3 linked regions of the Solanum lycopersicum genome follow. The protein of the gene in region 2 interacts with the protein of the main gene of each other region in a pairwise test. Links are inferred from orthologs where the notes say so. Each region holds a gene or a part of one and is shown on either strand. Other genes may lie near its edges.

Region 1 (4,100 bases), on a different chromosome or scaffold from region 2:
ATTTATATATAAATTTTCAAGTGATTTCTATTTTTTCTGTTTTTTTTTTCCACATAATTTATAGAGTGTTATATTTATCATCACATTTATGATTTTAACCAAACATAAAAATTATTTAACACGTTTGAGGAAACAAAAACAAAATTTATTAGCTCTGATTAATTAATATTAATATGTAATGTAAAATATACTTATAACTAATTTTTAAGCTGACGAACTTGATGGAACTTGAGTTATTGTGTTATATACTCACCTAAATTGTCATTATGTATAAACAAAGTTTAAATTGTTTTATATGTTAAGATTAAACATATATATTTGATCATTATATTTTGATTTTTTTTTTGAAAATTACGGGGTTAAGTAAATTTATACTACTTAATTACTCATTATAATTATAGTTTGCTATAATTATTACAAGCAACTAACATTATACATTAATTATGTGGGTTGACTTCGAGTTTGTATGATTAGTCACGTTTGTATATGTATAATTCGGCAGAATATACAAATACATATGTATGATATACACTTATCTAACCAATATAATATACAATTCACCTCTCTCCCACTCTTTGCGCTCTCTCTCGCCTCTCTCAATTTCGCTCGCCTCTCTCTTCCCTCTCCCAAACTCACTCACCTCTCTTCTCTCTCTCCCAATCTCGTTTTTCCATATATACAATTACATATATATAATATACAAATATCTAACCGATATATATATATATATAGAGAGAGAGAGATATGTATATATGTATATATATAGATATGTATATATATATATGTATGTATATATATATATACAATTCGCCTTCTACCAATCTTTGTCCTCCCTCGCTTGCCTCTCTCCTCTCTCTCAATCTTGCTCCTCTCTCTCCTCCCTATAGCTATGAAAGTAATTAGGTTATTTTTAAGTGCTTTATGTGAAAATTCCTTTATTTTTTAATAAGAAAGAGGAAGAAAGGATTATTATACATTTGTAGAAATTAATTTATAATTATAACAAGTTCTAAAAGTATCATGAAAAAAGTAAATATTAGAATAACTTGACACAAAGAAAAGACATGAATAATTTGCCAAAATTCATATAACTAAATCCAATATGTATTAGAATTAGGACAATATTAATTAATTGATATTCGAAAGATAAATGAATAAATAAATAAAGTGTTAAAATTGGGACAATATTAATTAATTGATATTTGAAAAATAAATAAATAAATGTGTATATATTTTCCATTAGTTTGAAGACATAAATATATTTTACATCTGGTTTTTTCTTCTCTACTCAACCTTTAGCGATCTCTACTGTAGTGGCCGCTTCTTCTGGTTTTCACTTTCAGGTTAGCTCTTCTTGTCAATCCCCCCCTACCCCCAAACAACCCCTTCATTTATTGGACTCTAAATTGTTGTATTAACATATGAGGGGGAAAAAGAATGGGAAAGTTGTTGTCTTTACTGTTTTTCTTGTACAGATTGTTGGGTATATGGTTTAACTGAGTACCCTTTTGGCTATATGGGTGTTTGAGCAAAAAAAATGGGTCTTGGCCATGATTGGTTGGTTGGTTCTTGCAATTTGCTTATTTGGGTTGTTAGTTGAGGAGATTTAAGTAAAAATAAGTGGGAATATGGGTGTTTTTGTTAAAATTTTGGTTGAAAAATTTGATGTAGTTAAAGTACTATTGATTTGTTTGATGGGGTTTGTTGAATCTTGCTGATTGTGTGGTTCTATCAAAAGTTTTGAACTTTAAGTACTCTTAAATGCAACAAAATTGAGTCTTTATGCTTTTTATTTTGGTGGATTTTGAGGTGGGGGTGGGGGTGGGGGTTTCATGTTTGCATATTGTATTAGGAGCTGCTAAATTATACTAAGGTTTTGGATTCTGGATTCATTTGCTCACATGTACTGTTGAGAGGCTTATTTCTGTATTTTATATGTTCAGTTGTGTGTTTTTTTCTGTCTATGAAGAAGTATTGTTTTTATTATTAGTATAAAAGAAAAATACTTTGTTTTGTTTCAGTGTGGTTGATGTACTTTGTGTTATAGTGATTAAATTCAAGCTTTAGTGTCTTTAGGCAGGATGAAGCAATTTTTGGTGATGAAGAAAAGATAACATGTTCTGTGTGGTTACATGAATAAATCATCTTCTTGCTGAAACTGACTAGATATTATCATAGTTTTACCAATTGTTGTTTTTGCTGTCTTACGTTGACTCTTAGACTGTACTCAAAATTTTCTCCATTTTGAAGCTTATTTTTTGGACTAATTCTCTGACTAGTTTGGGATTGAGGCGAAGTAGTTTTCTTATTGTTATTGTATTTTGGGGCTAATTCTTCCAAACTAAACCCAATTTGGCAAGTCATAATGACTCTACACCCTTCTTAGTATTAGTGTATGGTGGTGTCTTCTGTTTCTGTTTGGGTGTCCATATTTAATCATGCCTTACTCTTTGTTTTTTTTTTTAATGATTTATATTCTTTATTCTAAGAGAAAAGATCTAAATATATGTATTTACGTCAACATCCTTTGTTGGTTGTGAATATGTGTTTAGATTTACTTTGTATTGCTGAATTGTCCTTATGCCTTTGCTTTCCATCTGTTAAAGGTTTATCCTTACTGGTTTATAGCTTGGGAAATGGATGTTGGAGGAAACTCCTTAGCATCTGGTGCAGATGGAAAGAAGAGAAAAGTAAGTTATTTCTATGATCCTGAAGTTGGTAATTACTATTATGGACAAGGCCATCCAATGAAGCCACATAGAATGCGGATGACACATGCTCTTCTTGCCCACTATGGTCTATTACAACACATGCATGTTCTGAAGCCAAATCCTGCTAGAGATAAGGATCTCTGTAGGTTTCATGCTGATGATTATATTGCTTTCTTGAGAAGCGTAACACCAGAAACACAGCAAGATCAGCTGAGGCAGCTGAAGAGGTTCAATGTCGGGGAGGACTGTCCAGTTTTTGATGGTCTTTATTCCTTCTGCCAAACCTACGCTGGAGGTTCTGTTGGTGGGGCAGTTAAGTTGAACCATGGACACTGTGATATCGCTGTAAATTGGGCTGGTGGATTGCATCATGCCAAGAAATGTGAAGCATCTGGTTTCTGCTATGTGAACGATATCGTGTTGGCTATTCTGGAGCTACTCAAAGTCCATGAGGTATTTCATTATTGCTGTTCTTACTCACTTTTTTCCAAATGGAGGTTGATTGACTGATTGACAAAATTGGTCAGGACACATTTTTCACATTTTCTCACTATTCCTTTACTATTCACACATTGACATCGTGTCACCAAGCTATGTTGTGATATTGTGATAATCAGCCATCCCATGGACAGGCTATGTTATCATGTACTCTTCAGGAAAACACATTAAATAAAATAACTAGCCTCATTGGATTAGGTTAGAGAGTAAGTTGCTCGGACTCTTTACTTTCGGTATCGCATCTGTGTTGACACGACATGGGTGTGGGTGTGGGAGCCGTACCGGCTTAAGTCAACCGGTTTTGGATACTTTGACCAAAAATCAACGTTGAAATATGGGACAGCTACAATGAAATCTGTAATCAAAACAAAAGCTAAGTTGAAATTGGATTTTTTTTTGGGAGTATCTTGTATATATAAAATTCTACTCGAGTCGTTTTCTGTAATCAAAACAAGAAATGGCGTTAACCTCTCATCCCTCACTACTCTTCCTTCCATTTCATTTTAACCCACTATGACATGTTCTTATTAGCTTTAGAATTATCAACAAAACAACACAATGTTAACTTTACAATTCTTTTTTAATTTTGTTTTGAAACTGGTTAAGTTGGTGTTAGCTTTACAATCATTAACTAAATGTCAATCGTACGCTTACATCCAACACATAATAATCACATTTACATTCCTAAGCTGTATAAGTTCTTCATTGCTAATTTACCTTGTTTATATCACTGTTGCAGAGAGTATTGTATGTGGATATTGATATCCATCATGGTGATGGCGTGGAAGAGGCCTTCTATACTACAGATAGGGTCATGACAGTTTCCTTTCATAAATTTGGAGATTACTTTCCTGGTACAGGGGATGTACGTGATATTGGTTATGGAAGTGG
Region 2 (4,334 bases):
CCAAACATTTATCCCAGGACTATATATTCTTATCCCTCACACCAAACGACCCCTTACTTTCATGCCAAACATTATCAATATACCAGCTCACAGAGGCCAGAAACTCATAATGCACTATGCTGCACCTAGTTTCAATGAGGTACTATATATAATATATGAACTGAACAACTCAAATACAAGTTATGTACTATGGAGAAAACTCAGCACTCAAAAGATAAAAACAGCTCATCTCCTAGACAATTAGTCATACAAGCGAAGGATAGAAGGCACATTTTTAAGAAAATTGCAACAATATCCCAACATCTTGAATTGCTATGTGCATGCTGGCAGATAGTGAGCATGAGAATATACAAAGAGGAGACAGATAACAACTAAATTGAAGAGACCAGTTAAAAGATATACTGTGTGTTACTTCTTCATACCAGATCAGTTAGTTCGCGCAGAGTAGCATCCATCCATGTATAGATTTGGACCTCATCTTTGGGTTCCTTGCCCCTCACAGCAAATTCATTAACATTGTGATGGCCTCCAACCTGTAAGTTCCAAAGTGAAGCACCCACCGAGTATATCATTAATTAACCATAAAGCAATTCAGGTTTTTGGTTCATACTAGTCTTAAACGTGGTGAAACAAAAAATATGCGTGCATGGCCACTTTTCGGGGAAAATCAACTAGTGAAGCATACGCAAATCATATACATTTCGAAGGCGACGATATGAAAAGCAAAATCTTACAGATAGTTTCATTTACTTTCAGAACTTCGAAAGCTGGTAAAACTTACGGGGTCCTTTGGTAGCCGGATAAGTAAAAAGTTATCCATGTACTAATTTTCATATAACTTATATGACGTTTGGTATGTAGATGGGAAGATGTTAATTCATGTAAAAACTAATACAACGCTTGGTTAACAATTTAGAAACCTGCATAACAAATACATGTTTAAGTTATGAGGGAATCTATGTATTATTTTATGCAAGATAGAAGGTGGAATAACTAATCCATGCATAACTTATTAACTTATCCTTGCATAACTAAGACATGCATAAAATAATACATTGATTCACTCATAAGTCATAACTAATCCCTACACTGCTAATACATGCATAAGTCTAACCAGCTACTAAACGACCCCTTAGGGTTATTCGAAAGGTCTTTGTCTTGCTCGTGGTTATTCCATTATAAAAATTCACCTTCTATCAAAACAGAAAAACAAAAAATAAAGCTCGATTGGAGAACATACCTTAGTGAAAACACGAAGCAACAGAGGACAAGTCTGGTTTTCGATGGTATCCCCAAAAGAAACAAAAAAAAAAGGTTTTGTAAGTAATTTCCAGTATGCAAAGAATACATTATGTGCTATGAACACACATTAGCATAGCAAGTACGAACAAAAAATGCAAAAGATACATGCCAACTTGCTGATAAAGAGAAAACACACAAAAATAAAACAATCATTAGATTACTCAGCATGTATGGTCTCAACATAATACAAAGTGATGCCAGGTCTCAGATCATATATTTCTAGTATCAGTTGAAATCCATTTTCTTCAACATGGTAAGCAGCTAGTACAACAAACAACACAAGTGCCTGCATGCCTTTTTACCTTGTTAGTCTGCCCAAGCTGAGAAGGAGGAAGGGCAAGCAAGCGTCCATTCTTTTGAAAGTAAATGTAAAAGCAAACCAGACAAAATTCTATTTATCAAGGTGTATGACATGAATTAACCATAACAGCCCATTCGGTGATCGGTACTGTACCAAATGACGGGCATTGTCTCTTCACAATTCACAGCTTCTTTTCTGGCAGGCTAAAGGTCTTTTTTGGGGGTACATTTGCTAAAAGCTAATGCACGTACATATCCTTGATATAGTCCTATATAAAATCAGAATAGACGTGGAAGAAGTAGTATATCACCATTGCATTTTATTTTTCTTCAATTTACATAGTGGTGTATTCTCCTTTAACTTCTAAATTCTCAACCTTACATTTGTTTTTGGGATCTTGTGTTAAACTTCCATTTACCAAATCAAATTTCATTCCTTGAATAATAATACACCAACCAGAGTAAGACTCGTCAAATTAGTATTGAAAAAAAAGGAGTCCAAATAGAGCAAAATGATATGGTCAGCCCAACAGTTGCAGAGGTGAGATTTTCACTAGAGGTTCATAAACTTGAACTCGCGAATTAGCCATACGCATAATTTTAATACTTAAAAGTGTGGCCAATGAAGTGGTTGATAGTTATGAAGTCTCTTGTAAGCAAATCTGGGCAGAGATTAAAAAACACTAGGTGATTCCTCTCATCTGTTTTAGCCTTGGTGGAACATGTTGCTGGTGTGAGGTAACAGGTATGTGGAATTAGTCGAAGTGCACAATAGCTCACTCGGACACCATGGTCATAAAAATAACACATAATTCTAACTATGTATATACACATGCATATAATTTTCCGTCTCAGAGTTGTTGTTGAACAGCAATACACTATAAGATCTTTTCTAAACAAAACCCTAGCGAGAGTCTGCAACATAACAATTGCTTCAAAAAATCAAAAAGCAGAAGCACAAGCTACTTCACTCCAAAAACAACCTAATCCGTAACCAAACCAGTGTAACCTAAGTCAGAAACAGAGGATTCAGGCAAGAAAGAAAGGAAAAAGTAGGACCTTTTCGCGATCAACTGGTACGGGGCGTGGAGCAATCCTTTGAGGAGGTGGACCATGTGGACCTCTGGGTGGAGGAGGAGGTAATGGTCTTCCTCTTCTCTGAACATCCGCCATTGTTGTTCACTCCGGTCTCCGACGGTCTGTCACGCTTTAATACAACAGAGGTTTAAGCAAAGTTTTCTAGCTTTGGATCTTCATCTTGGGCCTTATATTATTAGAACCCTGTTGGGCTTTAATAAAATTGAAATAGGGGAAATTGTATATAATAACAAACTAATAACCTAAAATAAATGGAGTAGCCAGGGTTTGATATAATTGTGCTCCATAGCAAACGTTTGCAAAATATTGCCAGGCGCCTCTCTTCCAAATATCTCGCTCGCCACTCTTCTCCAATCTCTCGCTCGCTTCCTCATTTTTTATACAAACACAAGTGTATAAAAATTGTTTCTAATTGATAAAGCAGAGAAAATTGTATAAATACATATATTTTTGTTCCCACTATCTTCCTTCTTCCATATCTCGCTCGCCACTCTCCCAAATCTCGCTCGCCACCCTCGCATTTCTCACTTATACAAACAGAAGCGAAATGTATAAATTGCGTTTCTGTTTGTATAAAGCGTGAGAAAATTGTATATAGATATGCAAGTACATATATTTTCGTCCTAAACACTTATAATTATATAAAAATGCTCCCCTGCTAGTTTCTTTTGTCTATCTCTCTTTCTCGTTTTATACAATTTTCAAATTCTATCTAATTTCTCTCTTTCTCGTTTTATACAATTCAATTCAATTGTATATTCCTTGTCAAGTCTCTTTTGTCTTTCTCTCTTTCTCATTTTATACAAATTTGAATTGTATAAAATCGTTCTATACACTTATAATAATACAATTCGTTTTATACACTTCGTTTTTATACAGTTCTTTGCCCAAGTGTCTTTCTCTTTCTTGTTTTATACACTTTGTTTTATACAATTTGCTTCAATTGTATATGTATAGCGAACTATACAGTTTTTATGTTTGCTATGGAGCGCAATTATGCAAACTTTGCTATAGCATACAAATATAAATTTAAATTTGTTATATGTGAAAGTTGCCCAATTAAAAATTTGGTATAGAATAAAATGGCCATTTTTGTATTTTTGGGGTCAAAGAAGAGTCCCTTCTTCTATTCTTCTACCTATGAAACGAGTCTCTCTTTTATTCATTAAAGAAAATTAGCACCACATGACCTATAAAACTTATATAGGTGTTTTTTTCTAGTAATTTTTTCATTGTGTACTTAAAAATAAAACGTTGTTTCTGTTGGAAGTTTTAGCCTCTTCATTTGAGGCATTTTATCATAGGAAGTGTAGGTCTCCTTTTGATTGGTTTAGGGTTAGCGAAGTGAATTTGATAACGCCCAAGTCGATTCCTGAGGTTATGGAGAATGATCGACCTACTAGAAATAAGTTGAGAACGGTCTAGAACAGATAGAAATTTTATGTCGATGTGAGAGGAGAGAGAGCTTGAATATATTGTAGATGATTGGATTTATTTGAAAATTTCACCCATAAAGGGCGTGATGAAGTTTGGTAAGAAAGGGAAGTTCAATCCCCGATATGTAGGTTTTTATCAGATTTTGAGGCATTTTGACAATGTGGCTTATGAGTTGAGTTTGCCTTCAGAGTTAGCAT
Region 3 (3,613 bases), on a different chromosome or scaffold from region 2:
TTTGGGATAAAAGTACCTGGAATCAAAACCAAAATAAGAAAGGAAAGCAAGGTGTTTCTCTTTGTTCTCTAGCAGATATTTTTGGTTCTATTTCATGCTGATCAGAATTCAGCTCGATGCTCCATTTTTTTTTTTTGGGTGAAAAACTGATGTTTAGAAAGTGTTATTATTGCATGGACATTGGGACACTTATTGCTGCTTGATCGGGATGGACAGTTTATTTAGGTGAGCATTTTGAGTAATCCTTTTCTGAAGTACTGCACATGAAAGGAGATTAAACTGTTAAACATTTCGAGAACAAAATTTGTTGTAGGAGCATATGATGATGAGGAGGCTGCAGCAAGAGCATATGATCTTGCCGCTTTGAAATATTGGGGTCCTGGAACCCTCATTAATTTCCCAGTAAGATGTTTAATATTAGTTTTTTTGTCAGTTTACCAAGCGATACAGGCATCTAGCCCTTCCTAATTCCTTCCTATCTTTCTCAAGGATTTACTACAATTCTTCTCTTGCTTTGTTTTCTTAATTCCTTACTTGCATAATATTGGGTCTGTTAAAGCTTTGCACCCAACTGTATCAGGTGCTTTGCAATGGCTATACTTTCATGTACTAAATGTTCTGACTGTTTATGTAGGTGACAGATTACACAAGGGACCTTGAAGAGATGCAAAATGTCTCAAGAGAAGATTATCTTGCATCATTAAGAAGGTGGGTGTGCTGTTTGCATATGCATGCGTTTGGTAGAGTATCTGCTGATTCCTCATAAACTCATCTTTGCAGAAAGAGTGGTGGTTTCTCCAGAGGGATCTCTAAATATCGTCCGCTATCCAGGTATGCTAGCACAGATCAAGTCTGCATTCATATGACTTGTTGAATTGAAAATTATGTGATGAAGGATGAATGCTGTGGGATTTCCCGACACATTCACATTTACCTATTTTTCCTGGTATCTTGATATTCATTAGGGTTTCTTAGATGTCATTATTCACGATATCTTCCGTCTTCTCTTCTCTGCATCCAATGTAGTCGATGGGATCTGCAATTCGGACGTGTGCCTGGAGCTGATTACTTTAACAGCCTGCACTATGGTGAGTACAGTTATTGTCATGCAAAAATAAATTTTCTATTAATAATTGTTCATTTTAGACCTTCATTCTCAAAAAATAAAATAGTTCCTTTTAGACCTAGGATTTAGTTAGCAAATCAGGGCTGAACTCACATCTTATAAATCTTTAAATTTCTCAAAGGTGATAACGCCACAGTGGACAATGAGTACATCGGTGGTTTCTGCATGGATAGAAAGATTGACTTGTCAAGTTACATCAAGTGGTGGGGAGGTAATAAAGCTCGTCAAACAGATTCGCATCTGAAAATATCGGAGGAAACAAAGGTTGGTTGTCCTGAAGATATTGATAATGAGCTTAGGGCTTCAGAATTATCAATTCAGCAGACTGAACCATATGAGATGCCCCGTTTGGGTGTGTACCAAGAAAATAAGAATCATAAAAGCTCAACATTATCTGCTGTGAGCATTTTGTCACAGTCTGCAGCATACAAGAGTTTAGTAGAGAAGGTTGCTAAAAAGAAAGAAAAAGTTGAGAATGATGAGAATGAAAACAAAAGCACTATCAACAGAGTCGACCGTGGGAAGATGATAGAAAAATCAAGTCCTGATAGTGGAAGTGAGAGGCTTGGAGCTGCATTTCTCAATGCTGGGGGATTATCTATTAACAGAAACTTGCACCCACTTACTCCACTCCTGTCAGGACCACTTCTCACTAACTACAACAGCATAGATCCCTTAACAGACCCTGTTCTTTGGACATCTATTGTTCCTAATTTTCATACAGGTTCTTCACGGACTGCTGAGGTGAGTTTATCTCTTATCAATGCTTAGATTATCTTGTTTCGCATACTCCCATCTGTGTAGAAACATGGAAGTAGGATAAAAAGTTGATGGAGTGGAATGATAATCACCTAGACTCAATGATTCCTCGCATCTGATGCTTAGTTTCACATGAATACTAGATCAAATTAAAGAAGTTGCTAATTTACAATTTTGTCCATTTAATTATTTTTAAGTGATTTTTTCTTCAGCAGACTGTTTCCTAGCTATATCATCTAATGGAACTTGCACTTAGCTAAGCCTGAGCTCTACTATCCACGTCCACCAGCAATTTAAGTGGGAAAATCATGATTGTTGTTAAGATGTACGAAGAGTATTAGTATGACTTTTCTCTTTGAAGAATGGATAATGTTCAGTTAGTTGTACCTTGACTGCTTGCCTCTGTTATGACTTGTCTGGACCTTGGTCTTTAACAAGAGATCCTACTTAGTATCTAACAATACATACTTTTGCACCCACCATTAGTGGTACCTCAATATAACATATACCCTTCCACATGACTATGCCATTTCCAATTTTAAAAGACTACACAAAATGCAAATTTCAGTAGTATATAATGTTGAGTAGCATAATACTTGTGATGTAGTCGTAATGACTGCCTTTTGGTAGTGTGTGGGATTGCATAAGCAGTAAAAGGTCTGTGTCCTGTATATAACCAATAATTGTTGTTTAGGACTTCAAATGAATTATTGATCCTAGTATGTTTACAAGATGGAGTGAAGGGTGAGAAGCACTTGAGAATGGTTACATAACAAGTATTCCCTACAGAAAAATTGTGCAGAGTGGTGATTTTCTGAAGTTTGTTAGATGGGAAGGATATGTGTATCTCATAAACCTGGATCTTTCATGCAGGTCCACAAGAGCGAAGCCAGTTCAGATTATACTTTATTTCAACAAGAAGATTAACCTTCGCCTCTACAAGTGAGATACAAACTTTCCTGTACATGTAAGTTTGCAGTCTTGTGAAGCATAGGCATACACACTTTTATCTTTTGACAGGGTTTTTTCTTTTGGTCCATTATGAACTTTATAGACCTAAATGTTGTTCCAGTACTTGTAAAATAAGTCTCTAGTTTATTTATCTTTTTCAAGTTGCTGCAATGTTGCTCTAGCAATTCCATTTGTCCATCTGAGTTTTTAAGAGTCTTATCATTCCATGCTATAGAGTTCTCCACATGTAGTTTATGAAGAATGTATAGAAGCATGATTGTGGTATTTATTATTGCGGTTCACTTGAGTAGAATTTTGTCTTGCCCTTCTTGGTTCTAGCTTGACTTATTTATTTCTCTCCTTCTGGTTGAGAAACCCATCCCTAACCTCCAGGAAACACAAGATGCCCCCTCTGTTGATCTATAGTTTCCTCCTATGTTGCTTGGACTCTCCAAAAATGTTGCCGCACCCGTGTCGGATGTTTTAAAATGCACTACTTTTGAAGTATCCGATACACACCTGTTAATACTTTAGAAGAGTCCAAGCAACATAGGTTTCCTCTGAACGTTTCATTGCTTATTTGAGATTTGGAAGGGCAGCTTCTCGGTAAAAGTCTCTTCCCATCGCTACAAGTCAATTTGGTCGCTAAAGGTGCGCACACACCAGATCCCTCTTAATTCTTCACTAAAATCAATCCTAATCCCCTCGTACGACCTTTTAAATTCAACGATTCATTTTGGTATGAGTCTTAAATATATTGATACAGATGTAGTCGTT

The links.
Region 1: the proteins of histone deacetylase complex subunit SAP18 (region 2) and HDA1 interact in a two-hybrid assay, tested with the Arabidopsis thaliana proteins (2 studies listed by BioGRID). The link is inferred for Solanum lycopersicum from reciprocal best matches to the Arabidopsis thaliana genes SAP18 and HD1.
Region 3: the proteins of histone deacetylase complex subunit SAP18 (region 2) and AP2-like ethylene-responsive transcription factor At2g41710 interact in binary tests that used the Arabidopsis thaliana proteins (3 or more experiments, as listed by UniProt). The link is inferred for Solanum lycopersicum from reciprocal best matches to the Arabidopsis thaliana genes SAP18 and AT2G41710.

What each region holds. Positions count from the first base shown.
Region 1 is NC_090808.1:68,206,227-68,210,326, reverse strand, and holds the start of HDA1 (histone deacetylase 19), read left to right. Parts: upstream 1-1,217; 5' UTR 1,218-1,343; intron 1,344-2,606; 5' UTR 2,607-2,636; coding exon 2,637-3,164; intron 3,165-3,948; coding exon 3,949-4,100. UniProt on the Arabidopsis thaliana protein: Responsible for the deacetylation of lysine residues on the N-terminal part of the core histones (H2A, H2B, H3 and H4).
Region 2 is NC_090804.1:62,359,164-62,363,497, reverse strand, and holds the start of histone deacetylase complex subunit SAP18, read right to left. Parts: upstream 2,865-4,334; 5' UTR 2,776-2,864; coding exon 2,662-2,775; intron 1,274-2,661; coding exon 1,241-1,273; intron 534-1,240; coding exon 423-533; intron 1-422. UniProt on the Arabidopsis thaliana protein: Links the histone deacetylase complex to transcriptional repressors bound to chromatin. Involved in the tethering of the SIN3 complex to core histone proteins.
Region 3 is NC_090801.1:41,550,740-41,554,352, forward strand, and holds the end of AP2-like ethylene-responsive transcription factor At2g41710, read left to right. Parts: coding exon 1-51; intron 52-216; coding exon 217-225; intron 226-313; coding exon 314-402; intron 403-634; coding exon 635-708; intron 709-780; coding exon 781-831; intron 832-1,026; coding exon 1,027-1,088; intron 1,089-1,247; coding exon 1,248-1,870; intron 1,871-2,758; coding exon 2,759-2,812; 3' UTR 2,813-3,007; downstream 3,008-3,613.